Oryzias latipes: one gene and its partners. The protein of the gene in region 1 binds, or shares a complex with, the protein of each later gene. Links are inferred from orthologs where the notes say so. Each region holds a gene or a part of one and is shown on either strand. Other genes may lie near its edges. The genes, in order: cbll1, zinc finger CCCH domain-containing protein 13, mettl3, rbm15, rbm15b and wtap.

Region 1 (4,364 bases):
TTACCCTTTTTTTTTTTAGCACAGAGTAGTAGTACCACTTAATTGTGGTTTTCTGTGTCGAAACTGAGCTGCTTTCAGTGTTGCCTTTTTTGATCCGATAATATCATGGTAAATGGTAAATACTTATACTTGTATAATGCTTTTCTTTGAAGGCCCAAAGCGCTTTAGTCAAGGCCCCATTCACACACATTCACACACTGGTGGTGGCTCTGATGCTGAACCTTCCACCAGTGTCTTGCCCAGGGACACTTCGATACATGGACGGGCCAAGGCGGGAATCGAACCCGTAATCTTCTGCTCGGAGGTCGACCTCCCTACCACTGCCCAACAGCCGCCCTAATGAGGCTGCTCTCTTGTGACTTGACCTGACTTACATTGCTTGCATGTCAATCTTGATGTGTTTATCCTACAATAATCTATCATATCTTTAAATAACTTTATAATTATTATTTAGTTTTAATCAATTTAACAATTTTTTAAAAAATGTTACCGCACTTTTCTGGGGTTGAGCTGAGGACTGCACCCTGTGGGTGTTGTGGGCTTTTTTAGCATCTTTGTGTTATTCTCTGGCTTTCTCAGAAAAGTTCGGCTTCAAGCAGGAGGATCGGTTTGACTGTGGCGCTAAAGCTGGGGATGTGTTTGGAAGTCAGAGAAGATTTCCGCAGCCTCTGTTATGGGACTGTAAGGTATGGTGGCTATAAAGACGGTTTCACTTTGCTGACAGTGTCATGAAAGAGCATTTTCATGCCTAAGTTAGTATCAAAATGAGTTCTGTCTATATTGGTGTTGTTTTTTTGAACGATACTGTTAAAGTTTCTGTTTTTGAGTATATTTTACCAGTATGTGATTCAACATTTTAAGTGACTTTTCCAACAGCTAAATCTGATCGGTGAAAGAGATGAAGTTCCGATTCACTTCTGTGATAAATGTGGTCTCCCCATTCAACTTTATGGACGGATGGTATGTGCAGAATTTCAATTTCTGTCATTTTCAGTCAACATTTTCTTGCTTAACTCTTGACCTTGCATCTTTCAGATTCCCTGCAAGCATGTTTTCTGCTATGACTGCGCTTTGCTTCATGAGAAGAAAGGCGAGAAGATGTGTCCAGGGTGAGACATGTTTCCATCTTCAATGTGTAGTTCTGTTTAATTCTCTGTTAATTGAACAATTGGAAACAGTTTTTTTATGTGGCTGCTTAATGACAAAACGTAATAGAAAAGTTACTAACAAATTGACAAAAGATTGGAAAATATTAGTAAAATAATAAAAAAATATATATATATATATATATATGGCAGTATAATAATTTTTGCTCTGTAAATTTACATTTGGAGGAATTTCATTTGTGGTTGCAAAATTAGAAACATAAAGCACTTTTAAGTGAAAAATGTTTTGAAACAATTTATTAAGCATTGAAGCTATGATTTAATGCAGCCTTAAAAAAAACACTTTCTTGGTTACGGGTAACTTTTTTCCCTCACACGAGTCTATTTCGTTGAATATGAAATAGCGCAAATTAGATTTAGGATAATAAATTTACCTGATTGAAACACGACATTAAGCTAGTATTTATCAAAAAGAAAAAGTTTTTGTGCTTGGAGGTGGTTGTTTTTGAGGCATATCCAAATTGACATATTTCACAAAACTGCAATGGAAACACTTTTTTCAAACTAAATGAGCCCCATGACCAACAACCGGATGGCGAGGCGTCTTTTGGTAGGAACTGGCTGTCTTGGGGAATGCACAGCGGGCGCCACCAGAGGTCCCAAAGCGTCACACAGCTCATCAAAAGTTGAGCGTGTCATGTGGAATTGTTGGGTCCACAGCTCCTCTGATAAATGATGATGAGCGTTGGTGCTATGGCAGAAATTTGGATCTGTTGTCAAAGTATTGTTCACATCTCTCGCCATATTTTTTAATGATTTATCGCGTGAGTAGGTTCGTATTTATTCACATAATTAGGATCTAAAGGAAACAGTGTCATTGAAAAAAAATTTGTTTTGACATTTCGAGAATTTTGATAGGGTTTACACACGTGTGATGCAAAAGCTGCTCGTAACCTGTAGTTTTATGGTTTCTGTTTGAAGAGACTCAACTGTTGTATGTGTGTTCAGTCTCAGTCTGTATAACTGCACGGATCCAGTTCAGCGCATCGAGCAGTGCCAGCGAGGGTCCCTCTACATGTGCAGCATTGTACCAGGATGCAAGCGCACCTACTTGTCCCAGCGGGACCTCCAAGCCCACGTGAACCACCGTCACATGAGAGCCACCAAGTCCTCCTCGGGCCGCCAGGATCCTGTGCATCTGCCACAAGCACCTGAAATTTCTGATCGCTTCCGTGTGCCTCCTCCTCACATCCCTAAGAACCATGTCCACCTCCCAAACCAAATGCACAGCAGTCACGATCCCTACAGTCAGCCGCCTCCACCGACCCCCCATGACGGGCCTCCCCCAACTCCATCTCTGGGACCAGAGACGTTTCGCATTGCCACTGTAACAACTCGTAAACACAGCAATCTCATCACAGTGCCCATTCAAGATGACTCGTCTTCATCACGGGATTCCCATCCTGGTGGGCCATGCCCCAGCCAGCCCCCGCATCACCACCCTGGAGACTATCCTGGGCAGCCGCCTGTGGTGTCACACTCTCACCACATGATGGCGCCACCTCAACAGCACTTTGGTCCACCTCCTCCTATTAGTCACCCAATGCAGCACCCCCCCCAGGGCTCTGGGACACCACACATGGTCTACAACCAGGCTCCTCCCCCCATGTCTACAGCCCCGCCTCCCCCACCAGGGCACATCATGCCCCCCTATATAAATCACCCACCTCCAGGACCTCCCCCACAGCACACCGGACCTCCTGTGAATGCCCCCCCACCTCACCACTACAACCCCAACTCCATGCAGCCGTTCCCTGAAGACCAGGGCACCCTCAGCCCTCCGTTTAACCAGCCAGGAGGACTCAGTCCTGGGATGTGGCCTGCTCCCAGGGGGCCCCCACCTCCTCGAATGCAGGGTCCACCTCCCCAGGGACAGATGCCAGGCCCCCATCACCCAGATCAGGGCCGCTATCGACCTTATTACCAGTAAACTGAAAGCTGGTTGAGTGGGAAGTCGTCGGTGTTGTTCTTTTCCATACCGCTTGTCTAAGTAATGTGATAGTGAACCTCAGGATTTCAGGATGTAGAACTTTGATTTGGATAAAACTGCCCACATTCAAATGTGTGTATGGTGCACATTTTAGTTACCTGTGCTCCACTTCCCCATGAGCGCACTAATAATTTGGAGAAGAGCAGGAATGTCCCTTTTTTAATAGCTTATTGGAAAGGATCTCTGTATATACGTCTGCTGATGTCAATGCTGAAGTGAAAGACGTTCATTCTCAATAAACTTTTCATGTCATACCTACTTGTCTTTATTTGATGAGTTGGGAGCAGCTGAGTTGATTACATCAGAAGTTCTTTTTTGCTGTAATAAAAAAAAAAATGTTTTAAATGCGATCTCCTAAAAGCTTAGGAAACCCAGATGTTAGGACTTTGCTGTATGTTTTTTATTTCCTTTAAAGAAATTCAATTTTTTTGCAACATTTAATAAAAAACTAGAGACTTATAAATAGAAAAAAACCTGCAGCAAGATGAAATAAGTATCAGAGGACAATGATGCAAACTTTTATGCCAGTCTCACAAAAAAGTTGTACTTGTGCTACCGTTTGGTGTCTTAACTGCAAGACTTTTTTTCCCCCACAATAGTTATGAAAAAAATTGTCATGTCTTATTAACATTCTAGTTTGACTTGTTTGAGTGTAATTGTAAAATTGTAAGATTTCTGAAAACAATGCAAGTCACAGCTGGGTCCTCATTGCATGTTTGCTTTGAGGCATAAGATGGGAGAATGGCAGCACCATCGCTCGCTAAGTAGAGTTGGAATGTAAGGCCAAAGGTCCTTGCTCATGTCAGAAGTTGCGTGTTTTAAAAAGTCATGGAGTTGATGAAACAGGCACAGAAAAAACATGAAATCCAGTGTCTAAAAGGTTTGTGTGAGTCTGAGCAGACTTTCATGACTTTCAAGTGTGTAGAAGAATGTTCAGACTCCACCAAACAGAAACTTTATTGCAATGTTGATAACACTCTGTGTGCTAATGGATGTTTGGGTTCTAAACACTTTTTTTTTTTTTTTACCCACAGCACAGTACCAATCTCCTCTGTCTCTTCATATGTTTTAAAAAAAAAATAGGATGGAAGTCATTAACAGTTTCAGCTCAGTTGTAAACGACCTCCAAACAAACATTTTTATAAATATTACTTTTGAATATTAATATTCATGTTTTTATGCCTCTGGTAGAGGTATCTCTACTATAG
Region 2 (4,885 bases), on another chromosome or scaffold:
TCATTTATGGTTCATTAAATGAGCAGACAAAAGCAGATGAACGTTAAAGATTTAGAGGAAAATCTCAGGAGGGAGTGTTCGCACAAATCAGGTGATGAGGACGTCTACCTTCTCGTTTTTCAACAGCTGGCGCCGGATGGCGAAGTCCCGGCGAGCGCACAGAGCCTTGCAGCAGGGCCCCAGGTTGCTCAGCAAGCCGGCCCTCTCCACCCGCCTGTTGAGGGCCGCCATGTTCAGAGCTCCCAGGTCGTGTTCGAAGAGCTTCTCCAGGTCTGTCGGGACAGATTCTGCGCCGTGAGGAGGAACCGCAGAGGGGAGGGAGCGAACGCAGCGGGCTCGTCTGGAGAGCTCACCTTTGGGATCGTCCAGCTCCGACTTGCACACCTCCTTGACTTGTTCGAGCAGCTCTGGTCCGGCGAGGCGCTTGGAGATTCCCGCTCTCAGGAGCACGGCGCCCGGCGTGAAGCGGAGCAGGGCGGCTCCTGCGGCCCGCGGCTCCTGCTTCTGTTTGGGCATCAGGCTGGACCAGTCCACGTCGATCACGTCCAGAGGACCTACGGCGACGAAGGAGGTGCGGCGTGAAGCTTTCTTGCTGTAAACAAACTTACGATAAAAGAAATGCTTTGTTATCGGTACCAGTGACTTTCTCCTCCTCTGGTTGATCTTCTTTCTTCTGACTGTCGGCCAGTATCACATCCAGCTCGTCGTCACTGATTGGTTCATAATCTTCTCTAACGGACGCCACAGACTGCTCCTCTTCTTTAGCGTCATCGTCGCCTGAAAACACAGCGCACACAAAATCCCTTAAGGAGAGGAGGAGGTGAGGGTAAGAAGAATACTTTCTGAATTTTAGTAGGATTTTACTCCCTCCAGGTTATAGACAGGTCCCAGAGGATGGCTCTGCGTCAATGCCCTTACCGTCCACGCTGTCGTTCTTCTCCAGCTCCCTCTGATCTCCCACAGCTTGGTGACTGTTGCTGGGTTTCTCCTCTGCAGGACTGAAGGCTTCCCTTGGCAGCAGTGGCTCATAGTCAACCCTCTCCTGCCTGGCGTCTCCTCGACCCGGAGCCCTGGGGTCTCCGAGTGGCGGCAGGTCCATCATCATCATCCTCTCCCTCTCCCGATCAGCTCCCCTCTCGGCCCTGCCGTCCCTGTCCCGCTCCCTCTCTCGTTCGTGCTGCTGCATGATCCCCTCGGGGAGAAGGCGCTCGCGGTCTCTGGCGTCGCGGTCCCTCATCAAAGGTTCCCGACCCGGGCGCATTCCGAGGGTCTCCCGCCCACGGCCCTGCCAGTCTCTGGGCTCTGGCTCCCAGTCTCTCTGTTGCTGGAGGGGCTGTTGGAGGAGCGGCGGCTGCTGCGGCTGCTGCTGGGGCCGCAGCTCCTTTCGGTCGCGTTCTCGGTCCCTGTCAAACGGCTCCCGGTCCCGCTCCCGGCTGTCGTAGGAGCCGGCTCGAGACCTGGACCTCGCCTGCCTCTCAGAGTCGGGAGAGCTGCGTCTGGAGCTGTGGCTGCGGGAGTCTTGACGGTCTGTGAAACAAACGACTCTGCTGGATTACAAATATTCGAGGTTTAGGCCACTACTTTTCCCACCCCTGGTGGTGGAGATCCTGGAGTCACCCGACCCAGGAAACCAAAAGCCAGCAGGTGGGTGGTGGATCTCCAGGATCTGGATTACCCGGAATAAAGCCTGCAGTTTGTCTCCTTTGCGTTGAGGCAAGAAAATAGAACGTCCAATAATCAATGGGAATGCGTACATCGCCTCCGTCGTGTCTGACGTCCGTCTTTTACAGGAGTATTTCCCATCAAAAAGCCAGAGGAACAGGAAACAGGTGTGGGATTCAAAATAGAACTTTATAAGATCTTGGAGACGCAATAGAGCTCATGTAGACTAACTGACAGACTCCTCATGAAACGCAAGGCAGACGCGTGCACTGCACGGAGCAGCGGAAATCCGGTTTGAGAATGAAGACGTACCTGACGACGTGCTGCGGCTGGGCTCTCCTCTCCTCAGCTGGTCGATTCTGGACTTCCTCTCAGCTCCCGGAGCGTCCCCGAGCGCCGGCCGCTCCCTCTCGCGCTCTCGCTCCCTCTCCCGATCTCGGGAGTTGGCGCCATGCAGCCGTCCCCGGCGCGGCCGCAGACCCTGGTGGTCGTCCCTGTGTCCCGACTCGTTGGACGGTGAGCGGGGGCGCCGGGAGGACGTCCGGCTCTGGTTGCTCCCCATGCTGCTGCTGCGCGGTTGCTCCGGGGGCAGTTTGCGGAGCACGGGCTGCAACATGAGAGGCTGCGGGGCCATAGTCTGCATCAGCATGGGGGGGTCCTGGGAAAGCAGCGGGGCGATGGCAGGTGGGTTACACCTGTCTCTGCCCATCCTGGGGGCTCCGCCTCTCCTCAGAGTCTCCATCGGAGCTCTGTCTCCAGAACTGGGAGGGGCTTGTTTCTCCATAGGGACGCTCCGGTCCGTCACCTCCTCGTCCGACCAGTCACTGAAGTTGTCCACTTTGGAGAGCGGCGACGGTTCTGCGTTGCCTCCGGTTCCCCGGTGGTCCGGCCTCATGGAGGGGGGTGGAGTCCGAGGTCCTCTCTTCTTCTTACTGTGAGGCGGAGGCGCCGACGCGTCCTCCTCAGAGGCTTCAGAGTCTTCTCCTCGCGACCGCTTCCTCTTCCGGTCGAGCGCCTTCTTCTTGGCTCCTTTCCTTGGTGAGGGCATGAGCGGAGGCACGTCTGCAGAGGCGGGGGGCGGAGGCTCAGGGTTGAACCGCTCCGCCGGAGCAGCGAGACGGTTTCCACAGGCGGCTCCATCCTCTTTCCGAGCTTTCTTCATGCCCTTCCTCTGCGACTTCACCTTCTTCTTGCCCTCCTCGTTGGCCTGAGAGCCAGCAGTGTCTCTGTCTTCACCGCGAGTGGCGATGGCTGCAAGAGGCGGCGGTGGCGGCGGCGGAGGACTCGATTCGCGCTGGTCTCTCCCTCTACCGCGGGTCTCGGCTTCAGGGAGGTACTCCCCGCGCCTCTCTGCTCCTCGGCATCGCTCCGCGCTGCGAGGCTCCGGCTCCTCGATTCGGCCCCGTGCTTCCCTTTTCTCCGCAGCTCCTCGGCGCTCCTCGTCTTTCCAGTGGGGGGCTTTGTCGTCCGAAGCGGCGCCTCTCGGTGGCGACCGCGACAGGCGATCCTGAGGTCTCACCACTTGGCTGTGCAGACGGTGCTTGTCTCCACCTGGACAGGAAACAGTCGATATTTCAAAGCGTTTTTTTCTCCAACATTAGCAAAGATTTTCCAAGAAAAACTACGTTTGCTTTGGTAAAAGTTCCACATTTTTTTGTCTGACAGTAAAATTTGCACCGACAGCCAGAAAATGAAAAACATTTTAGCCAAACCAGAAGTCAAAGCATGCCGGTTGAGAAAGTGCTGCAGAGGCGCATTTCCTCCAAAAACAGGAGTGCGTCTGTTTTAAAGAGATTTTTTCCTACTGTCAGATGGAGGCAGACACACGGGGCTGGGGAGGAGGGGCTGTGGGTGGAGCTTGGCCGGCCCTCGGCCAATAGGGCGCTCACTTTTATCTTCGGCACTATTATAGCCGTCGCTGTCGGCCGGGCTCAAGTCTCTCGCCGCCCGCTTCGGGGAGGGTCGGGGGCTTGGGCTGCTCTCCACCCGCGCTCTCTTGCGACTAAAAAGGAATAGAAATCATTTTTTTTAAACATTAAACATACACATATATCGTTTTTTTTTTACTTTTGGATGAACACATTTCTGATTTAAGAAGTCTAAAACTGAAGTGTGTTGCATCTCTACAATGGAATATAAGGAAATAAAATATAAAATTATGAGAATAAAGAATATTGTCATGAAATATTGGGGGAAAAAAGTACTTTATAAAGTCTTGCTTTGTCACGGAAAAAGGTTAAGCAGATTTAGTGAGATATTTGAGCCGTGTGATGTCATCAGTCTTTTTTTTTTTAAATGTCATTTTCCATAATTTATAGTTCATTATTATTCTGATAAAATTTAGCCTTTTTTTCTTATAATTGTACGACTATTTATTTATCACAACTTTATTTTGTAACCTTTTCTCATATTTGTCTGTTTGTTTTCGTAAAATGTCCTTTTTTTTAAAAAATAATTGTACTTTTATAAAAATTTAGACTTTTTCTTATAACTTCACAATTTTATTCTCATAAACTTTGACTCTCTCTTTAATTTTACACCTTTATTGTCATGAAATGTTCACCTTTTAAATATATAATCTTTTCTTTGTCCAATGTAAAGCAATTTTTCTCCTAATTTTCTGCTAATTATCATAAATGGTGACTCCGTGCTGCATTTCAGAGATCTGGCATCCACACATACCTCAGCTTGCGATCCTCCCGGGTGTCTCGAACGGACCGATCCTCCCGGACGTCGTCTCTCCTCTCCCGCCTCTCCTCCCTCCCCCTCTCCCGTTCCTCCCACTCCCGCTGCCTCTCTCGCTCCCTTTGCTCCCTCTCTCTCTCCCTCTCCTTCCTCTCTCGCTCCCTCTCCCTCTCCTCACGCTCTCTCTCGCGTTCTCGCTCCCGAGCTCGCTCCCTCTCTGCCTCCCTCTCCTTCTCCCGCTCCTTTTCCCTCTCTCTCTCCCTCTCTCGCTCCTTCTCCTTCTCTCTCTCCCTCTCCCTCTCTCTTTCCCGCTCTCGGGCCCGGTCGTCCCGTCTGTCCTCCGACCGGTCTGTCCGTCGATCGTCCCGGTCGGACTCTTCCGACCTGCCTGGATATCTGGAGGGAGAGACGGCCCTTTGATCTGCAGGAAAAAGAGAAACGTGTAAAGTTACAAATGATACAAACTGGATAATTACATTTAAAGATGAAAAAAGAAAAAGGAAAGTCAATGTAAGGCTGCATTCTGCATGATGGCCAG
Region 3 (4,730 bases), on another chromosome or scaffold:
TCCTAAATGGAGCAGAGGAATCAAAAATTTTTTTTAAAGACCGACTCTGATGAAAATCATGTTATTGGGGGTTCTTCTCCTCATAGCGTTTTGCTCAGGATGTAGGGAAAAACAAGAAAACTGCTTTTTTGAGTATTTTTTATTTCCATGGTGATGGATCAGGAGGCTGCACGGTGGCGCAGTGGTTAGCACTCTTGCCTCACAGCAAGAAGGCCTCCGGTTCAAGTCCCAGCTGGGGGACATGAAAAACAACATCAACAGGGGGCTTTTCTGTGTGGAGTTTGCATGTTCTCCCCGTGTATGTGTGGGTTTTCTCCGGGGTCTCCGGCTTCTTCCCACCATCCAAAAACATGCTTCATAGGTTAATTGGTCACTCTAAATTGTCCCTATGTGTGAGAGTGTGTGGTGTGTTTGTGGACATTCTACCCTGCGACAGACCTCGCCCACAAGTGGCCGGGATAGGCTCCGGCAGCCCCGTGACCCCGAAAGGGAAAAACGGTTAAGAAGATGGATGGATGGATGGATCAGGAGCAGATAAAAACCCACTATTTGGAAAAGCTTTCAGTTGTGATGCAGCGTTTGAAATGGGCGGCAGAAAGTCTCCCAGCTCCGCTCCACTCTGATCCATCCACTGGCAAACAAGTAGATACAGTAACGTCTTCATTTTCCTCGTCTGAGCTGACATCCAGCTCAAAACTGTACGGCTGGATACCTCTGATATTGCTCGCTATTTTTGTTTCACCCCTAATACAAGCTGGGAGTGTTGAGGGGCTTTAAGCTAGCAGAAGAGCGTGTAAATAGAGGGTGATGGGATATCAGCAGAGGGTCACAATTCAGAGGCGAAGCCTGATGAACTCTTGCCGTTTTAAAGAAAAAATGTCTTTAGAAAAACAACACAGGCTTTTGGCCAAAACAGCATAATCATAATTAAAAGACGACTGGAAATGGTTTAACAATAGATATAAATATAGTCGGAGTCCGACTGTTAAATGTGTTTATGCGTTTTCTTTTCTTTTCTAATGCAATGTGTTGGTCCTTCTTGGTCTCTCAGACAGTGGGACCGTCCCAGATGGCTCTGCAGTCAGGAGTGACAGCCCGGCTCCACCAGCTCCATCCAGCTCTCAGGAGGAGACAGAAAAACCACCGGATCCTGAGCTGGAGAAAAGGCTGCTGGGATATCTGTCTGACCTGAGTCTTTCGTTGCCTATAGACTCCCTTGCCATCAGTAATGAACTCAACAATGTAAGGTGGTTTTCTGGGATCATTGAAGAACCTGTTGGATGCGGCGTTCTACACTATGATTTCTTTGTTTATCTGTCTGAAGCCTGAAGCTGCCGCCAGTCATGGATGCATCCAGAGCCTCCTGCTAAAGTTCTCAGCTCAGGAGCTCATTGAAGTCCGACAGCCCACGTCCGTCTCTGCCTCCTCCGCGGTTCCCTCCTCCACCGTCGTGGTGGCAGTGGATCACACCAAGCTGTGGGCCATGATTGGATCCGTGGCGGGATCCCAGAGGACGGCGGTCAAGAGGAAAGCAGAAGACGTGGCCTTCAGTAGCAGAGCCGGCAGCTTCTCGCCTTCCCTTCAGAGCTCTGCTTCTCCTCCACGCTCATCCATCTCCTCCCTGACGCCCGCCTCCTGCTCCCAGCTGACTGGCTCCTCTGCGTCGGGGGGCGGAGCCGAGAAGAAGGGCAGGAGCAACAAAAGCCAGTCTTCTCACGTGGACATGGAGATCGAGAGCCTGTTAAACCAGCAGTCCACCAAGGAGCAGCAAAGCAAGAAGGTGATCCAATGTTTTTCTCTGCCGGAAATGAATCCTCACTCCTGATGTTTTCACAGATAGAAAGACGGAGGAAAGCAAGTAATCAATGTTAAGAGTCTAAAGTGGGATTTCAATGTATTTTTACACATCAAGGGAACGTTCGTGTACAACACGGATAATCAAAACAGAGAAAATAAAACGGTGTCTGGTGTGTGTAAGATTAAAGTTAAACAGAAGAAAATATAAAATCCAAAAGTCAACGATTAATTTGCCAAGAGGAAATAAGTATCACCATTTTTAGCTTAGTAAACATTTCTTTTCTTCAAAATCTACACCCATAATTATGCATTGCTCAGTGATATTGACTGATACATTAGAAACGAATGTAAACCTCATACCTGGAGATCAACCAAGTCTTTTCTACTAAATGCTGTTGAGTTTGTCCAATTATCAAAACCATTAACAATGTTGAGCAGCAAAACCGTAAGGAAAATTGGACCTGTGTTTGGTAAATGTAAAGAAGATGAAATATTACAGGGGTCGGGAACCTATGGCTCGCGAGCCATATATGGCTCTTTTGATGGTCACATGTGGCTCGCAGACGAGAAAAATATTAGGTCTTTTCTGGCCAAAAAGTGGAAAAACGTTTGAAAACTGCGTGGACTCAAACCACGAGTATGTTTGATATTTAATAAAATAAACTTCACGTCCTAAAAGTTAAGAAAATTTTTAATTTATACTCTTGTAAAATATCCTTTTGAGACATTTTTGTGAATGAGATAATATTAGAAAATATTTATTTTATTTGTTATGATTGAAGCTTCCAGCTTTAAAGCTAAATGTTGCTTCATTATTTTTTACATTTTTGGGGTCTGTTTGGGGTCAAATCAGGGTCAGTTTAAAGGGAAGTGAAATTCCAAACTGGAAATTAGTAAAAAAAAAAAAAAAAAAAAGCAGTTTTAAACTCAAAATTACACATTCCTCTCCTTTCCTCTCTTTTCTTTTTCTACTGTTGGAAGAGGCTTGGTGTGAAATGTCAAAGCCGTGCAAATCAGTTGAATCTTTGGCAACTCTATTCTCATAGATGAAAAACTTGCTGTCATTGAATTCACAAACTACAATTCTTCATTTCTCCTCCATGATTCATGTTCAAATGGTTGCCACTTTTGTGAATTAAAAGGAACACCATCCATACGTCACTACTAAGTACGAGTCTCTGACTGAAGTTCAACCTGGTTTAACTTTCAACACGCATTCAAAATTTGTTTAGATCCGCTGGAAAGTGAGAGCTTTGAATGCAAAAGCCTCGTTTAAACAGAGCTTTCAATGAAAGTGCTCTTGTTGCCAGGGGCGATGTGAACAAAGCTCCACTCCCACATAAAAATGGTCTCAACACCAAGAAATGTTGAAAATACAAAACAGCAGCTGTGACAAAAAAACATAATTTTTCATTTGGTAACAGTTTTAGATTTGTTCTTTTTTAACCCCTCCAGACTCGAATTTATTTGCAACTGAAAAAAATAAATTCCACTTGAGTTTTTGCTTTCAAGTAGATGATAAATTCAGTTAATTTTGCAGCAGAAGTGGTTCGATGCACATTTACATCAATAGACATAAAGGGGGTTTTAACTTAAGTTTCAAACTTAATTGTTTTTCTGATTTTCAATATTTCTTTTACCGCAAGTTTGAATTATTTTTGTTTCAAATTTTCTTTTTCAAAGTTTGCTTTTTTTTATTTTCTTTTTAATGTAATTTACAATCTAGTGTTTTATTTACTTTCAGCTGATCGTCATTTGACCCCAGGTTGGAGGTCAATGCTCTTTCATCATCATCATCATGTTTCTGAACATGTGTGCAGGTGAGCAGAGAAATCCTTGAGCTGCTGAACGCCAGCACCGCCAAAGAGCAGTCCATCGTGGAGAAGTTCCGCTCGCGAGGACGCGCTCAGGTCCAAGAGTTCTGCAACCACGGGACCAAAGAGGAGTGCGTCCGCTCCGGGGACGCTCCTCAGCCGTGCACCAAGCTGCACTTCCGGTGAGATTTCTGCCTCAAAGCCCAACATTTGACCCCTCGACTTCTTAAAGCTCACTCTGGTTTGATGTTGCTGAATTAGAAGAAACCACTGTTTTATATTTATATTAGAAAAAAAAAACTACCTATTTCAACCTGAAGATGGCGCCATTTATCTAACAAAAAGCAGCTCATCTAACTATATAGCCATTGCTTTTTGACACACATCTCATTAAATTCTATGGATGAACTTTTTTTTTTTCTATTGCTTTTTTGTAATTTGCTTTAATTCTAGGATAAAATTCAGATTTTACATTTTTACTCTTCTCGCTCATCTTTTTATTCTTACATTTGTTCCGATCAGTTCAGGTTTTGTCCGTGAAGCGAAACGCTTTAAATTCATGAGCTTAAAGGTTTTTCTGCTGTTTCTGCTCCTCAGTCGCATCATCAACAAGCACACAGACGAGAGCCTGGGCGACTGCTCCTTCCTCAACACCTGCTTCCACATGGACACCTGCAAGTACGTCCACTACGAGATCGACAGCCCGCCGGAGGCCGAGAGCAGCCTGGGGCCGCAGACGGGGGGCGCGGAGGTCAGCCTCTGCGCGGGGGACGCCGACAGCAACGTGGGCACTCTCTTCCCATCGCAGGTGAGGAGGGGACATCAGGCGGAGAGCGCTTTTCTTAGCGGGAATTCTAGTCTCTCAGCAAAGCGTTTCCATTTCTCAGTGGATCTGCTGCGACATTCGTTACCTGGACGTGTCGATTCTGGGTAAGTTTGCTGTGGTGATGGCTGACCCCCCCTGGGACATCCACATGGAGCTGCCCTATGGGACTCTGACCGACGACGAAATGAGGAAACTCAACATCCCAGCCCTGCAGGACGACGGCTTCCTCTTCCTCTGGGTCACTGGCAGGTAACCAGAGCAGAGTTAGCATCTTTGATTCTTTTCTGCCTCAT
Region 4 (5,609 bases), on another chromosome or scaffold:
GAATCAGTCAATCTAACTCTTGTTGTTTGACCACATGCTTTTATTGAGGCATCTGCTTGGTCAGTTTATAACTTGAATAAGTTGCACTTCCTGCGCTGCCAGGATGAATGCTTCAGTGCTGTCCTGTAGGCCAGGCCTTTCTAGCCATTGGTAGGACTTCTTGACATAAGCCACTTCCTTAATGGTCCAATGGGACATCCCATGTAGGGGCTTGTCCTCCCATGAGGATCTGTCCTATAGCACCGCATCCTCTGCTCCCCATTGCCTGAGACTTTCACAGAGCACACTGTCAATTGGGGCCTTGAGCTTGATGTATTCATGCATCTTGGATTTTTCATCCTGGATAGTGGTTTCCACGCTCAACAGTCCTCGGCTAACGGACATGGTGACCAGTACATTTACCAGCTTGTCTTGAAAAAAGTGTGCTTGATCAAACAAGGCTTGGGGTAAATTTGACTTCCTATTTTTCCTTCAGACCTTTTGACCACTTCCATCTTGTGGTACATTAAAGAACACCTGTCTTCCGTTAAAAGCAAATTCGAATGATGCCTGATACACTTTACACCTCAAATTCAGAACACACACACATACATACAGTAAAACAAAATGAAAAATGAATAAAAATTTTAAATCATACTTCCAGTTTCACTACTTTCTGGACACTTGCAAAGAGGCTTCCGATTTAGAAAATAAATCATATGGAACATGTCCATGTGTTTTTGTTTGTATCTTTTAATATTCAGTTAATATGTTGATATTTGGGTCATTCCAGAACTGGAGGACATTTGGGCTGCAAAATTCATGAAGAGCAAACTTTGACTTTTCTAATTCTCTGCTATATAATCGTCAATAAAAGGTAATATCTGTCAAAGGCTTGATTAACTTTGCTTACAGATCAACTGCGAAATATTTATGACATTATATTGATGATGACAAGACTTGATGCAACCTTGTTATCAATTTTTGCAAGTAACAGGGTTGCAAACATGTATTAATATTGACTTTCTCTCAGGAGTAGACGCTAGTTGTTTAGCTGTCACTGAGTACCAATAAGAAAATTAATGTGATTTCAATGGCATGCCTTTTTGCATTTCTGACCACCCCAGAATGAATGGTGATATCTTGTTTTTCTCAGTTGCTACTTTACATGCTAATTTGATTGCTTACTTACTCATAAAAAAGCAACAACAATAACAATAATTGTCTTACTCTGATTATAGGGAAACAGGGTTGCATGAGGCGGAGTGAGACATTCAATCTAGGATAACTATGTGTTAAAAATAAAAGATCCACGTAACTTTTGCTCTACCCATTCTTTTTGAATACTGTTTGATGATGTCAAGTCCAGCATATCACTCTTTGCTATATTCTAACCCTCTTACCTGTTATGGTAAAAGGAATTGTGTGGATTCGGTGGGAAACACATTGTATTGATCATAAATAATATTTGAAATACTTCTTTTATTTAAAAAAATCCCACGGTTACATAAAACACCAATCAAAACAAGATATACCAAAAACTGAATCTAAAATTTAATTTTAACTGCTTTTATTGAAGATTTAATTTGGACAATGGGGGACGGGACAAGAAAAAATGCATTTTAGGGGGTACATTGAGCTTATTTGGCATTTTTTAAATTATTTTCAGTAATTATTTTCACTTAGTTTTGCATGTGGATTATTTAAAATAGGTTTATTCTGAAATGACCCATTTTTTAATCCATCGCTGTGTGCGTGATTGACGGGATTTTAAAAGGTTTTAACCAATCGCCGCCCCCCAAACACCGGCCAATCAGCGCATGGAGGCGGGTCTTCTCACAAATCTTAACAAAATGGCGACTGTTGTTGTTTTGCCGCAGGGTCGGTAAATAAATTCTTTGAACGTATTGGATATTTTCTACATTATTTTGTGGAAGGAGTGCAGGAAAAAGCCAGTTACCACAAAGAGTTTACTCTTCGTGGGCTGCAATGAAAGGAAAGGAGCGGTCGCCGATTAAAAAACGGTCCCGGGCCTTGGACGACATTCGAGAGAGGGGAGGATGCCACCCGACCAGCAAGAAAATGGGGGCTCTCTCCGTTTCCAGTGGGAGTAATAATGGAAACAGTTCGTCCAAAAGCGACAGCGGCTCAACGAGACGGAGCTTGTTGGGTGAGAAAAGGGACAGAGATTTTGAGGGCCATAGTCGGACTGGAAATAATCACAGCTGTCAGTCTGCTGCTTCCAGCTCCGTGGGTAAAAACCACAACCTGAGCCTGTCGCTAGACCTAGCCTCCCCGCGAGCCTCTTCGCGCGCGGAGCAGCGTGTTCCGCCGCCCAGCACCGAGAGTGAGTACAAAACACTCAAAATCAGCGACCTTGGGAATCAGCTGAGCGAGGAGGATATAGAAGATGGGCTTTTTCATGAATTCAAAAAGTTTGGCGACGTGAGCGTCAAAATTAGTCGCAGCAACGACGAACGGATTGCTTTCGTTAACTTCAGGAAGCCGGAGGACGCCAGGGCTGCTAAACACGCCAGAGGCCGGCTCGTGCTCTACGACCGGCCGCTGAAGATCGAGGCCGTTTACACGAGCAGGAGGAGAAGCCGCTCCCCCGTGGAGAGGGACTTGTACAGCGCAGCACAAAGTCACAGACACTTGCAGAGACCCCTGTCGCCCACCGGCCTGGGTTACAGAGACTACCGGCTGCAGCAGCTGGCTTTGGGACGGCTCCCTCCTCCCCCTCCGCCCCCTCTGCCCAGAGAACTGGACCGGGACAGAGAGTTCGCCCTGTTTGAAGCCAGGGCACGTCCAGCTTTCCTTGCAGAGCGAGCAGCTTTTCGTGAAGAGGATTTAATATCTCCGGAAGACGACCAAAGAGCAAACAGGACTTTGTTTTTAGGCAACTTGGACATAAACATTGCAGAAGCAGACCTCAGGCGGGCTTTCGACAGGTTTGGAGTCATAACAGAGGTGGACATCAAGAGACCATCACGAGGACAGACCAGCACATATGGATTTCTTAAGTTTGAGAACCTTGACATGGCTCATCGTGCTAAGCTTAGCATGTCTGGAAAAATAGTGGGTCGCAACCCTATAAAAATCGGTTACGGAAAAGCAACACCCACGACCCGTTTGTGGGTCGGTGGACTTGGACCGTGGGTTCCTTTAGCTGCCCTGGCCAGAGAATTTGATCGCTTTGGCACTATAAGGACCATTGACTACAGAAAAGGTGACACTTGGGCCTACATCCAGTATGAAAGTTTAGATGCTGCTCAAGCAGCATGGACACACATGAGAGGCTTTCCGCTGGGAGGCCCAGAGAGAAGACTTCGGGTGGATTTCGCAGACACTGAGCACCGGTACCAGCAGCAGTTCTTGCAGCCTCTCCCTATTCCACCGTTTGACATGGTGGCTGACTCGTTTGTCCACCGCGCCACGCCTGAACCTCTGAGAGTCAGAGATCGGACTCCACCTCCACTTCACTTCAGGGACAGAGAACTCTTTCCAGCAACGGAGTGGCCCAACCCGGCCATTCGTGAGCGGGTCCGGGGATCCCCCTTTGAGCCTCTGGAACATTTGGAACGCGACCGGAGAACTCGAGAGCCTTGGTCTTTGGAGCGTGAGCTGCAAGGGCGAGAACCAGGACGTAAGAGACGCTTATTGGAGGATGGCCGTCACCTAGATCACTCTCCTGACAGCACTGAGAGGACAGTGAGACGTAGACGTTCTTCTCCAGATGGCAGTCCTGGGGGCAGCAGCAGAGACGGAGGACGTTTCAGTGACTCTGAGCATCCTGTGCACAGTGAAACGGCCTCACCAGCCAGAGAACATGTCATTAGCCTTGAAAGAGGTGGGGCGGATCGAAGGGTTAAAAGCCAGAGTCTTTCTGAGAAAGGACTCTCATCTGCTGGTGAGCGGAAACGCAAAGCGGGCGACAGTGGCAAAGTGCCTGCCAAGAGAGAACGCTCTGAAAGCAGCTCTAAAGGAGCCCAGCAATCCAAACCTGATGGCACCAAACTCATTGTGGCATGGCGCGGAATGCTGCTCCTGAAGAACAGCAACTTTCCAGCCAGCATGCATCTCCTAGAAGGTGACTACGGCGTCGCCAGCGACCTGCTCATCGACGGCTCAACCGGAAGGCAGGTGAGCGAGCTAAAGATCACGCAGCGTCTCCGTCTGGACCAGCCAAAGCTTGATGAGGTGTCTCGGCGCATCAAAGTCGCCGGTCCAGGCGGCTACGCCATCCTGTTGGCAGTTCCTGGAAGCACAGAGGACTCCTCTTCATCTGATCCTATGGCCTCAACCCAGCGGCCCCTTCGCAACCTGGTGTCCTACCTCAACCAAAAACAAGCAGCTGGGGTCATCAGTCTGCCTGTGGGAGGGAGCAGAGATAAAGACAACACAGGGGTTCTTCATGCTTTCCCCCCCTGTGATTTCTCTCAGCAATTCCTGGATTCCTCTGCAAAAGCTCTGGCAAAAAGCGAAGAAGACTATCTGGTCATGATTGTGGTTCGTGGAGCATCTTAAAAAAAAAAAAAGAGAAAAAGTCACAATGCACTATGTTCAAGTGGAATATAAGAAAAAACAAGTCTGCTGTTTGTCAGTAATTATTGCATGCTGTGTTCTGCATTGTGGGGTACACTAGTATGGTTCTTGAGTGTTTGTAAGGTGCCATGTAATTCACTAAAAAGACATATGGTGCCCTGCAACCAAACTAAAAGGTTCATCTTAAAAATATCAAGTGAGTATTTGAATTTGATCAGTCACAAATGCTTCATTACAAATTGATGATTTGGGGATTTATTAGTTAAAATTCAGATGTTCTGCAAGAATGAAAAACCTCAGAGTATTTACACAATAACTCGGTGATAAAAGAAGCCCAACATATAAAAATGACTTTATTTAATTTTTGCTTTTAGATCATTTTTTTTCTGATCCACTATGTTGCATTACCTCAGCCTGTGCTGATGGTGTTATTGTTGGTATTCTGAAAAAAACAGCAAACCCCCCCTTACCTTCACCTAAAGTGCAGTGAATTGTCAGCTCTTTCTGCTTTGAGTAAATTGTGAACTCAAGATACTTGAGGAAATGGAAATAAATGGTTCTATTAACTGTTATAGAATGGCAGTAACAAATATTTTTGTTGTAAAGGGAGAACAGATATTCCAATAAGGTTAAAACACATCACACAACTCTTCAATGGAACTACATCCGATAACTTAGCCGTGTTCTTTAGTTAAAATAACACCATTTCCGTTAAAAGTTTCAAAGAAAAAATGAGTTGTGCTCTGTGTTTGACCTCGGTTCCACAGTAGTTAATTGAAGGTCACCATTTGGTTAGAGTCCATGTATTTCAGCTGCAGTTTTGTGAACTTTTGCTGGGGGAGGGGTCAGGTTTTATTGAATCAAGTTCCTGAAATTTTTTGTTTTTTTTTTGCCGAAATGTAGCATAACTTGGGGATGCTAATATCTGTGTGTGGATAGCTGAACACTAACGTTTAAGCGGTGTTCCTGCCCAGGGAACAGCCCATAATATGCAAAACGAATGAATGCAAATACTTACATTGCAATTTTAGAATTTTATTCGTTTTAAAGCTTTTTTTTTAATTTAGTGCCCCCTTTTTTCCTCC
Region 5 (5,374 bases), on another chromosome or scaffold:
TGAAGTTTGAAATGTCCACAATAAAAAAGAAAAATTGAAACAGTACGACTCGAAAATATTTTTTTAAAACGTCTCCACAAGGTAGTTTACATCTTTATCCATAGAAATTCATTCTAGTCCATGCAACAACAGAGAAAACACTCTGGCACCATAAAAAGCAAAGTGAAGTGTGGAATGAGCGATCTGATAAAAACACCGGCGGAGTGGTTAGGACGGCCGGGACTCTGTCTACTGGCCCAGGAGCCTTTGAACTATAAATAAAAAGTTGGTAGAGTCCAGAGAGGAGAGACTCGATCAGCCGGCATCAGCTTACAGTCCAGCTGCTCTGCAGAAAGTCTCCATGTCACTGGAGGTGTCGGCACAGGTCAGGTGACACCAGGATACAAACACATAAAGTATGAAGCATAGAAACCATCAGGCTAGGCATTAGTGTTCTCAGTTCCACCTGAAGCAGAAAGGGCGGCGTGCTGCCTGTCGGGGCGACGACCTTTCTGCTTTTTTTAATTGAATGCGTCCCGGCGTGACTGTCGGAGGGGAACCTCGACAGAGGAGTCAAAACACGCCCCCCAGCAAACCATGGAAGGACTTGTAGTGTGGGACTGAGCCGGCACCAGACTCAATTAGTGTCGCTGACGATCACAATGACCATGTGCTCCTCGTCCAGATTACCCACAGTCCTCCGGGCAGCCTGCAGGAACTGCTGTGAGAACTCACCGGGGGGGAAGGCGTACAGCATCCCACCCGTGCCCCCCTCTTTGGTGGCAGGCAGACCAACCACCCCCGCCGCCTCTTTGTTGCGCAGGTATGTCACCAGGTGCCGGAGCAGACGTATCTGCAGTCCCGGCTCAGGGGCGGGGGCCTGGCGGTCGATGGCGCCCTGCAGAGCCAGCAGGATGGCAAAGCCGTCAGGGCGGCCGAGCTTGATGCGGCGCGACACCTCGTCCAGCCGGGTCTGGTCCATGCGCAGGCGCTGGGCAATTTTCAACTGGCTTGGCTGGTTCCGGTTCTGCAGATTCAGGCTGTCCTTCAAAACGCCGCTCAGGAAGGAGGCCCCTCCCTCCAGCATGTACAGCTCCGTGGGGAAGCTGCTGTTCTTCAAGGCAAAGAAGCCCTGCCACACCTTGGTGAGGGAGCCCTGGGCGTACTCCGACAGCGAGCTCAGGGTGGACGAGGTGTCCGTGTGGGCAGCGGGGGGGCTGGCGGCGGCCACGTCGCTGTTTCGATGGTGGTTGTTGACGCTCGCGGACCTCTTGCTGTGGTGACGGCTGGATGGGGGCTCTTCCTCTGTGGCATTTGCGTGTCGCCCCCCTCCACCACTGTCAGGGGAGTGGTCTCTTGGCTCAGTGGTGGAGTCCGGGGCTCGAACCCGTGCTCGGTCTGGGCTTGCATCAGGGGAGGCGGTGCCTCCCGGAACTCGAACCCTCGACCTTCCCTTTTCTTTCTCCTTTTCCTCCGACTGCTTGTCGACAGACAGACTTCTGCTTCTCCTGCGGCTCCTCCTCTCCTCCCTCTCCTTCAGCCAGCGTTCCCTGCTCCTGCTGCGGCTCCTCGCCCCTCGGCCAGCTCTTCCAAACGCCTCCACTCCTCCCACCCTCCTGTCCAGGCTTCGGGTGGGGCTGCTGGGAAACTCTCTCTCCAGCAGGACCCTCTCTCTCAAAGAGAGGAGGCTGTGGGAGGGCGGTGAGGAGCGCTCCCTGGTTCCTCTCAGCTCGCGCTCCAGGCTGCGATGGCGACTGTAGGCCTCTCCAAGGAGGTCATAATGCGTGGGGGGAGGCACAGGAAGCTGGTAACCAGGGGGAAATGGGCGGGAGGGGCTCTCCTCCACTTTAGCAAAGTCCACCCTGAGGCGGCGCTCTGGCCCGCCCAGAGGAAAGCCCCTCATCTGGGTACAGGCGGCCTGGGCTGCATCCAAACTTTCATACTGGATGTAAGCAAAGCTGTCGCCCTTCACATAGTCAATGTTCCTAATGCTTCCAAAGCGGTCAAATTCCCGCGCCAGAGCGGTCAGCGAGTTTCCTGGTCCCAGACCGCCCACCCACAGTCGGGTGGTGGGGTTGGCTTTGCCGTATCCGATTTTAATTGGGTTTCCACCAATAAGACGGCCCTGCATGGCCACTTTGGCCCTGTGGGCCATGTCAAGGTTCTGAAACTTTACAAAGGCATAAGCCCCGCCCTGGCCGCGTGCTGGCCGTTTGATGACCACGTCCTCAATGATGCCGTATTTATCAAACCCTCTCCTGAGTTCAGCCTCCGTCACATTCCCGTCCAGGTTTCCGATGAACAGGTTGCTGGTGGCCCTCTGGTCATCCTCGGGCTTCAGGTCCTCCACTACAGGCATGGGGGGGAACGCGTAGGGCCGCCCCCTCTCATCCAGCATACCATAATAGTCCAGCAGCCTTTCCCGGTCTCTGCTCAGACCCAGGCTCTCCAGCGCAAAGTGTCTGGCCCGGAGGTCCCGCATGCTGCTCACGCCGGTCCCGGGTGGGGACAAGGAGCGCTGTCTGTACGGATAGGGGGCGTGTAAAGGTAGATAGCTGACGTCCGGGGGGGTGACGCTCCGCCTCCTAACGTACATGGGCTCTATTTTGAGCTGTCTATCACCCAGAGCCAGCCGGGAGGACTTGGCGTGCCGGGCCTCCTTGGCGTCCTCCGGCTGTCTGAAATTGACGTAGGCGATGCGGCCGAGCTCCGGCGTGTGCGACAGCTTCACGCTCACGTCCCCGAACTTTTTGAATTCGTGGAACAGCGCGTCCTCGACGTCCTCGTCCGACACCTGCGAGCCCAGGTTGCTGATGAGCAGCGTTTTGTACTCCAGCGTGCCGGGTCTCGCGGCGGGGAGCTCCGCGGCCCGCAGCGGCGGCCGGCCCAGGAGGCTGAGCTCGTGTCGGTGGTGGAGCTCCAGCGCGGCCGCGCGCTCCTCCCGAAGGCGCGGCTTCTCCCGCTCCCTGCTGCGGCTCCGCCGGTGGTAGCTCCGGCTCTCCGCCAGCAGCAGAGCCAGCGGCGGCGGCGGCGGCAGCTCCTCTCTGCGGGCGCTCTCCCGTTCTCTCTCTCGAATCCGCTTGGCTAGGGCCCTGGATGGGCTGCCGTCTCTCACGGCCTGCCGCTTCATTTTCCAATAATGATGGAGAGTTTCAACTTTTTTTCCGAGCCTGCAGCGGAGATCCGGCGCTGCTGCGGATTCCGGGAGCGTTAGCTCGGAGACGGCGGCGGCGCAGGCTGCTTCGGTTAGGGGGCGCTTCCAGAGCGGGCTCCGAGTGGTCACACATTTACGGGGAAAAGAGGAGAAGCCTTTAAAAACATGTCAGCATCACAAGAGCTGCACCAGCGCCGCCATCTTGGACAATAGGAATGTGCGCGTTCCCAAAGGAGGGCGGAGCCTGTAGTGACGCAAGCACGTTGCACGTTTTGATTTGAAAACTCCTGCATACCAAATTGTCCTTGTTTATTAGGTTTATCCATTTTTCAAAGGAAATCAAAATAACACAGCAAGCAGATGATACTGCATTATTCTTAATAGACAGAAACCACATTGACCTTGATACAAGTATAATTAATTATTTTTCAAACGCTTCTGGATTACGTCAATAGAGATTACGTCTTAGTTTAGTTAAATGTCAAATATTATTAAAAAGTTAACCCTCGTGCTAACCTATGACCCCACCCTTGCATTGACGTGTTCTTCCTACCATGACAAAGGTGGATAAAGGTGGAAAGATTTCATGTAATCCATGGACACCAGTGAAGATCACAAATCATTGAAGAAAAAAGGTTCAGAGCACTGTCTAGTGGGTCTAGATGACCCAACTCCCAATGTTAAAGTGCCTAGGATAGCACAAAGGTTAAAATGGTTAAAGAAAAACATGGTATCCCTGTTAAAAATGTAGTTACATATTTAGGCACCAGTATAACAATGGACAGAAAATCTAGACAAACACAAAACTTCTCCTTGAGAATTAGAAAAAATGCAAGATGTCATGAATATGTGGCTTCAAATAGATCTATCTATTTTTGGCGGGATCCTCTTGGCTAAAGCGAAAGGTATCTCAAGAGAAATTTCTCCTAATCTATCCTTATCTTTACTTCTGTTCAACTTCCAAAGAAATAAACAACCTCTTAGTTAACTTTGTATGGAAAAATAGACGTCACTATCTTCAGAAAGAACTATTTTATGCCCCCTCATGCAAAGGAGGTTATGAACTCCTACATTTCTCAGATTTGAATTATACATTTAATGGTTACTGGATTCAAAAAGGCCTTTAAGACTCAAAATCAATTTGGTACTTTATCCCATTTAATATTTTATAATAAAATCGGGGGTCTTCAATTTCTTTTTAAATGTAAATATCAGAAAGACTCCTGTCAATCTTTAAAATTTGTATCTGCAAGTTTTGTCGTGCCTGGACGTTATGCTATGCACATTATTTCTCACCAAACAAAAGTATAACTTGGAACAATGATGATATAACCATCAAAAATTTGATCTTTTTGATGAGAATGGCAGCCATCGATTATGACAGGTTCTTCAATAAAATGTGTTTTCCAGTAACAAGCAAAGAATTCAAGAGTGTAATGAAAGCTCTTGTCTCAGGAGTAATTCAACTACTGACTTCTAACCTTAAATATCACGAGGAATCTGAAATACACCCTCCTTTAACACTTAATGGTATTGATATTTTCAATCAAAAAATTGCAACAACAAACACATAATACTTTTAGCGAAAAAAGAAGCATAACACCTAAAGGAGAAATTTATTGGAACCATATTTTAAATTATATCAATTGGAAAAAAAGCATGGTTACTGCCAGATACATTTTGAATAAACAATAAAGTTAAAGAAATACATAAAAGAATTTCAAATAACATTTACCCCACAAATATGTTCATTTCTAAATTCTAAAGATAGATAGAAAATAACTGTAGTTTTACTTAAATCAGTTCATCACCTTTTCTACTGTTGTACATCCTTTCACTTCTGGATCCGTTTAGAACAATTTAAAGAAACAAAGTAAACTAATACATTTCAAACAAATTCTACACATTTTAACTTTGGTGATAAAATGGTAGAAAACGTTATTAATTTGTTGCTTCTCCTACCTAAATTTTTCATACAAAAGGGCAAAGTAAGAGAAAAAAAACTCCCAAATTTACTGGATTTAGGATAAGAGATTTGTCAAATTTCTTAAAAATATTAATACATCCAAGGCAATTTTTTGTAAACATAATTTTTTTACCTATACATATATATTTAATGTTTTAATTTCGTACTTGCAAATTTTCCTTTTTGTTAACTATTTCCTCATTAATCTTTTATATTCTGTATTTCTTTTTTTGAAAGATAATATTGGTTATTGCTATCTGATGGTCTGCTTGGTG
Region 6 (5,185 bases), on another chromosome or scaffold:
GATTCTAAAAACAACATAAGCGTAATTACAAGACCACTGGGAAAGTTTTTAAAATCACTCAAAAGAGGATCGAAGTGGGACTTAAAACTAAGCGTCTAGACGCAGATTAGCCTAGATTTTGATCTATTTGAAAGCAGTTTTGTTACATTTTTAAAGGGAAGATGTTTAGGTGTTAAAAGCAGCTTCATAATGTGTGTGACTGGACTCTAACACCTGCCTGTTGCCTCCTACAGACACAGATCCAGTACCTGAAGCAAGTCCAGCAGCCGAGTGCAGCCCAGCTGCGGTCGTCCATGGTGGATCCAGCCATCAACTTGTTTTTCCTCAAAATGAAGGCTGAACTGGAACAGACTAAAGACAAACTGGAGCAGGCCCAAAATGAACTGAGTGCCTGGAAATTTACACCTGATAGGTAAAGACAATCAAAATATCTCCCCCCACCTAAAAAAAAAACAAAACAAAAAAAAAGTCAAGACTTCCTCACGTCCCCCAACCTCACTCTCACTGCAGGCATGCAGGAGCAATGGTGGGGGGGGGGAGAGGCTGACAAAAGCTGTGCTCACCGCGAGGCTCAGACTTGACAGAAATCCAGACACTCCCAAACCAAACTGCTTTTGCACTCTCGCACCGTGCCAGCTACACATCACACAATTTAAAGAGAAAAGACAGTATGGTCAGGTGACACTTGTTTCGGCTCTCTCCTCTTATATCCCCCCGCCGTCCAAAGGGCCCGATGGAGTCCGGACTGCTCTGAAGAGGTGGTCTCTCATTTCTCCACATGGAACTGCCTTCCATGCCCCCTCAGACAGTTCACATATTAAGTAGGGGGTCATGGGAGAAGTTGTGTCCGGCAGGGAGCATCCCTAGCCTAAAGCGGCAATCGAACATTTAAAAGACATTTAAAAAGAAAAAAGACATTTAAACTGTGGATTGCTTCACATAAACAGTAGCTGTCCTGAGAATTTGAAAGACTTTTTGGACTCTCAGATACATTTGAGTAACACCAGGAAAGTCTCTAGAATTTAAAAGTCAGAGACATTAGAAATGACAGTAAGACTGAGCGGAGCAAGTTGACAGAAGAACCACGTTCAGGCGTGAGGGTCTGCTGTCTTTGAACACGGGCCTGCACACGGTAGTGTACTTTTGTTTTAACCTTGTAATGTGTTTTTTGTTTCTTTTCTTTTTTCTTTGATTGACATTCCATTTGATCCTTCTTGTTTCCCTTAGACTCTTACTGCAGTGTGTGAATCCTGCAGCACGACGATCTTCTTTGACTTTGTTGTGAATGTTTTTTTTTTTTTGCACAAGTGACACTTTGGGATGATCGCATATCCAGTTATTGCCGTAGGTGTGTTGAGTCCAGTAACTGAGTTGTAAACTGCAAATGTCCTTGGCACATTGTGTTACGAGTTGACCGAGATGTATTTATTCATTCTGTGTACTGTTTTTGATTGACCTAATCATTTTCCCCACAGCTTAATAACAAAAGAGTTACTCTTTATTTTTATTTTTTTTCATCGCCAGTGTGGTGAGATACTTGTGGACTTTTTGTTTGTACACTAAAATAATTAAGTCACGGTTCTCACCAGGTGAGATAAGAAATGTTTGACATTTATAGGGGTTTTACAAACATTTTCTTTCAACACAGGAAAGAGAAAACTTCAAATTCAAACCAGTATGATGAAAGTTAGAATTACTGAAAATGATGATAAAAAACTTTGGAAGTTTTTATTTTGTTGTTGATATAACATTAAGGCTCTGTACTTGGTATGGGTGACTTAATTTAATATAAAGGGAATGGAAGACATTTAATTATGGTCTACATGTCATTTTTGGATTCACTTTGGCTTCTTGAGTAGGGCACAATGACATGTCACCGTACTGTTTCAGACTTTTTGTGAAGCCAGCAGTATCAAGAGCTAACTGTACTGTGAAAAAAACTGCTCTTTATGTTTTTAAAAAAAAAAAGGATTGCATGACCTTTTCAACAAAGATTTCAAGTTTGAAGGTTCTTTTGTGGGTTTTTTTTTAAATCAAGATTTGACTGTGCTTTGTTTATAACTTTTTTTCCACATCCTGAAATATTTCCGATTCTAATTTTCTCATGCCTTTATTTTTTAGTATTAACCGTTTTCTATGTATAACACAATAACGTAGTTTAGAGTAAAACGATAGAATCGAAATGCCTTAAAAGTCAGAGCATCATTTAGGTTCATGGTTTCATATGTCTGTATTGAACAGGCATCAGACGGCATGTTTAGGTTACTTCAGACGTCTAACTGATGGAATGAAAATGCTTAATAATAGCTGTTAATGACATTGAGGAGTTCCTGGTAAACCCTTGGACAGCTGGAGAGTGAAGAGGAACAGGTCCATGCTAACATTCTGCCTGTTTTCACTTGGTTCACTGTGTGATGTGAGACTTGTTTCCCTTACAGCCAAACAGGGAAGAAACTGATGGCCAAATGTCGAATGCTGATTCAGGAAAACCAGGAGCTGGGGCGGCAGCTATCGCAGGGACGAATTGCCCAGCTGGAGGCTGAGCTGGCCCTGCAGAAAAAGTACAGCGAGGAGCTCAAGAGCAGTCAAGATGGTGAGGAAACGAAAAGCTCCCGTACCCAAATGTCCTCTGTGCATAGATTAAACTAAGCTTATTCTTACTTTCAGAGCTGAATGATTTTATCATCCAGCTTGACGAGGAGGTGGAGGGGATGCAGAGTACCATCCTTGTCCTGCAGCAACAGTTGAAAGAATCCCGTCAGCTGATTTCTCAGTCTCAGGGGCTCTCAGCCGGAGCAGAGCCCAGCAGGACTTCACCCGCTGCTTCCAACTCATCTGCTGAGCTGTCCACAATACAGGAGCCCAGCGCTGCCTCTGAAGCAACAAGCAGAGACTACGGGAGGGTGTCCAATGGTCCAAGCAATGGTAAGTCATCTCAGAGGAGGGAGACCACCACCCCACCCAACTTATACCGGGAAGTCAGTAGCACTGAGGAAGATTTCCCAATGTCCCCCATGGTGTCCAGCCCTGGTGACGCTGAGACCAAACTCTCCAACCACTCATCGGAGGTCCCCGGCAGTCAGACTGCTTCCAGGAGAGCTGGAGGACCTGTGGGTTTCGGAAACCAGCTGAGTGCGGGCTACGAGAGCGTGGACTCTCCAACAGGCAGCGAGACGTCATTAACTCAGCACTCGAATGACACAGACTCGACCACTGATCCCCATGAAGACAAGACTGCCTTGGTGACCAAAGGCGCTAGGACTGCAGGGTCAAGGAACACTCAGAATGGCCTGGAGGGCAACACGAACGCTGGTGCCGATTTGTAATGTACTTTAGAAAGTACTGTCTTTTTTTGTCTTTTTTTTATACAATCTACAAACAAGACAAAAGCTAAATAGTATGTGATGCAGCACTGCTGTCCAAGAAGTTTTTTCACTCTTGTCCCATTGTGTATCTTGATGCCTTTGTTACATTTGTGTAGCTTAACAGGGATATAACAACAAACACTAAATGTTCAATTTGAATTGTGTGGGATTTATGTTTAAAAAAACTTGAGGTTTCACTGGTGTTTATTTGGGCACATCATCTATGCCGTTAAGCTCATGACACTGAAATCCAGCATCTGGTGTTGTTAATCATTTCAAAAGGTGTTTGAATGACAGTAGTTTCACCAATACAAAGAAAGCAAGAACGTCATTTTTATGTTGGCCTCTTTTTTTTTTTTTTTTTTTTTACTTGGTTGGTTTTTTTAAATACAATTTTTGTTTTAAATTGGAAAAAGTTATGTTTGATAGACTTCTAAAATGTGAGTTCATATGTGTCATTCATATTCTGACTTCAACCCTTTTATGTACTGACCAAAAACAATAAAGATTTCTAATACTTTGATGGGGGAACTCGTTATATTTGTCACTGGCACCTATCATGAAGTACAAAATTACATAAGTATAAATTAAACACATTCAAGTAGTTATTTTTATGAGAGAAAAATATGAACGCAAAGCTAATAAACTTTTTTTATGCACCATTTGGGTTGTTTAAACATCCCTGAAGAATGAAAACAGTATTGTAAATAGTATTTACGGAAGTTCATTTTCAAAGACTTGCTATGAATCCTCCAGACCAGTTGGTGGCGCTGTTTCTCATATCAAGGGACTTGCATAAATACCATTCATGCGTTCGTTCATTCAGTTCAGTATCAACTGAGTCGTGTGTAAGTGAACTGACAGAAAGATTTCCTGAAGACTAAAGCTACTCCAGCATTCTGAACAAGATGAACGCCGAGCCTGTTGTTATTGTTTCTGCTGCACGTACTCCAATTGGTAACGTAGCTCATATATATTTACCATGATTTCTTTCATTTCATAGTCCCGTGAATCATATTTCGAATATTTTGTCAAGCCAACACAACATGAAAACATTTTGCATTTCTAACTGAATTGGTTTTACGCTTATCATGTACTTTTTTGTGGTACTTTCCTTCATGTTAAAGGTGTCTTTTGTAAATAGGAAGGTGGTTGTGTCCAACGCGCTGTGTATTTGCAAAGTTACGATTGGCTAGCTCCTGTGTCCGCAGTTTTCTCTTGTTTCTGATTGGCTGGCAGTCATAGGGCCACGGAACACAAGTTTGCTATGATTGGCTGTTCACTGAACGTCTGTGTGACGTAGGGCTCTAATCTTTACTCCTTTTATTGAATCACGATAATTTGGAAAAAAAAGATAGAGCCGTTAAACTGTAAGTTTATAACAACATAAAGTTTAAATATTGTTATTATTTTTACACACTAGTTCCATCGCCTTTTTCTCATTTAATTTATTTTTAAAGTTCAGCCTGGACAGACAGAGGACAAACATGATGAAGGAATGTGAACAAGTGAATCTTCTTTAGTCATGTTATTTTTTTGAAGTAAAGTTCAAAAGATTCATTCTAAGGCAATGTGATAAAGAACTTGCTACAGTGTAAATAATTCAATGCAATAATTTAACTAAAATAGTTAATTAAAAAACAAAATTGTGTGTTTGTATTGGTTTGTTAGTTGTGCTTTTATTTGGTCAATGCTATTCCTAAGGTTAGTATTTCTCAGTGAACTTGTATTTGGTGTTGACTAAAGGCGTTTATGTTTTAAAACAGACAATACTCCTTATAGCCTATTGTCATCACTTCTTTGTTTAATGAAGGATGTCT

Evidence for each region.
Region 2: cbll1 (region 1) and zinc finger CCCH domain-containing protein 13 share a complex: the UniProt entries of both Homo sapiens proteins name them as parts of the WMM complex. The link is inferred for Oryzias latipes from reciprocal best matches to the Homo sapiens genes CBLL1 and ZC3H13.
Region 3: cbll1 (region 1) and mettl3 share a complex: the UniProt entries of both Homo sapiens proteins name them as parts of the WMM complex. The link is inferred for Oryzias latipes from reciprocal best matches to the Homo sapiens genes CBLL1 and METTL3.
Region 4: cbll1 (region 1) and rbm15 share a complex: the UniProt entries of both Homo sapiens proteins name them as parts of the WMM complex. The link is inferred for Oryzias latipes from reciprocal best matches to the Homo sapiens genes CBLL1 and RBM15.
Region 5: cbll1 (region 1) and rbm15b share a complex: the UniProt entries of both Homo sapiens proteins name them as parts of the WMM complex. The link is inferred for Oryzias latipes from reciprocal best matches to the Homo sapiens genes CBLL1 and RBM15B.
Region 6: cbll1 (region 1) and wtap share a complex: the UniProt entries of both Homo sapiens proteins name them as parts of the WMM complex. The link is inferred for Oryzias latipes from reciprocal best matches to the Homo sapiens genes CBLL1 and WTAP.

The regions. Positions count from the first base shown.
Region 1 is NC_019881.2:9,401,680-9,406,043, forward strand, and holds the end of cbll1 (E3 ubiquitin-protein ligase Hakai), read left to right. Parts: intron 1-579; coding exon 580-686; intron 687-876; coding exon 877-960; intron 961-1,035; coding exon 1,036-1,109; intron 1,110-2,114; coding exon 2,115-3,096; 3' UTR 3,097-3,410; downstream 3,411-4,364. UniProt on the Homo sapiens protein: E3 ubiquitin-protein ligase that mediates ubiquitination of several tyrosine-phosphorylated Src substrates, including CDH1, CTTN and DOK1. Targets CDH1 for endocytosis and degradation.
Region 2 is NC_019860.2:22,017,522-22,022,406, forward strand, and holds part of zinc finger CCCH domain-containing protein 13, read right to left. Parts: intron 4,769-4,885; coding exon 4,345-4,768; intron 3,665-4,344; coding exon 3,468-3,664; intron 3,214-3,467; coding exon 1,975-3,213; intron 1,528-1,974; coding exon 919-1,527; intron 778-918; coding exon 637-777; intron 555-636; coding exon 354-554; intron 273-353; coding exon 109-272; intron 1-108. UniProt on the Homo sapiens protein: Associated component of the WMM complex, a complex that mediates N6-methyladenosine (m6A) methylation of RNAs, a modification that plays a role in the efficiency of mRNA splicing and RNA processing.
Region 3 is NC_019876.2:17,633,076-17,637,805, reverse strand, and holds part of mettl3 (N6-adenosine-methyltransferase catalytic subunit), read left to right. Parts: intron 1-1,051; coding exon 1,052-1,242; intron 1,243-1,324; coding exon 1,325-1,780; intron 1,781-3,617; coding exon 3,618-3,793; intron 3,794-4,208; coding exon 4,209-4,419; intron 4,420-4,498; coding exon 4,499-4,686; intron 4,687-4,730. UniProt on the Homo sapiens protein: The METTL3-METTL14 heterodimer forms a N6-methyltransferase complex that methylates adenosine residues at the N(6) position of some RNAs and regulates various processes such as the circadian clock, differentiation of embryonic and hematopoietic stem cells, cortical neurogenesis, response to DNA damage, differentiation of T-cells and primary miRNA processing.
Region 4 is NC_019865.2:10,859,322-10,864,930, forward strand, and holds the start of rbm15 (putative RNA-binding protein 15), read left to right. Parts: upstream 1-1,804; 5' UTR 1,805-1,968; coding exon 1,969-4,506; 3' UTR 4,507-5,609. UniProt on the Homo sapiens protein: RNA-binding protein that acts as a key regulator of N6-methyladenosine (m6A) methylation of RNAs, thereby regulating different processes, such as hematopoietic cell homeostasis, alternative splicing of mRNAs and X chromosome inactivation mediated by Xist RNA.
Region 5 is NC_019863.2:6,227,000-6,232,373, reverse strand, and holds the start of rbm15b (putative RNA-binding protein 15B), read right to left. Parts: upstream 3,669-5,374; 5' UTR 3,110-3,668; coding exon 617-3,109; 3' UTR 1-616. UniProt on the Homo sapiens protein: RNA-binding protein that acts as a key regulator of N6-methyladenosine (m6A) methylation of RNAs, thereby regulating different processes, such as alternative splicing of mRNAs and X chromosome inactivation mediated by Xist RNA.
Region 6 is NC_019882.2:7,320,654-7,325,838, reverse strand, and holds the end of wtap (pre-mRNA-splicing regulator WTAP), read left to right. Parts: intron 1-233; coding exon 234-412; intron 413-2,438; coding exon 2,439-2,593; intron 2,594-2,667; coding exon 2,668-3,326; 3' UTR 3,327-3,888; downstream 3,889-5,185. Other genes in the region: acat2 (acetyl-CoA acetyltransferase, cytosolic), read left to right, coding at 4,274-4,322, 5,179-5,185. UniProt on the Homo sapiens protein: Associated component of the WMM complex, a complex that mediates N6-methyladenosine (m6A) methylation of RNAs, a modification that plays a role in the efficiency of mRNA splicing and RNA processing.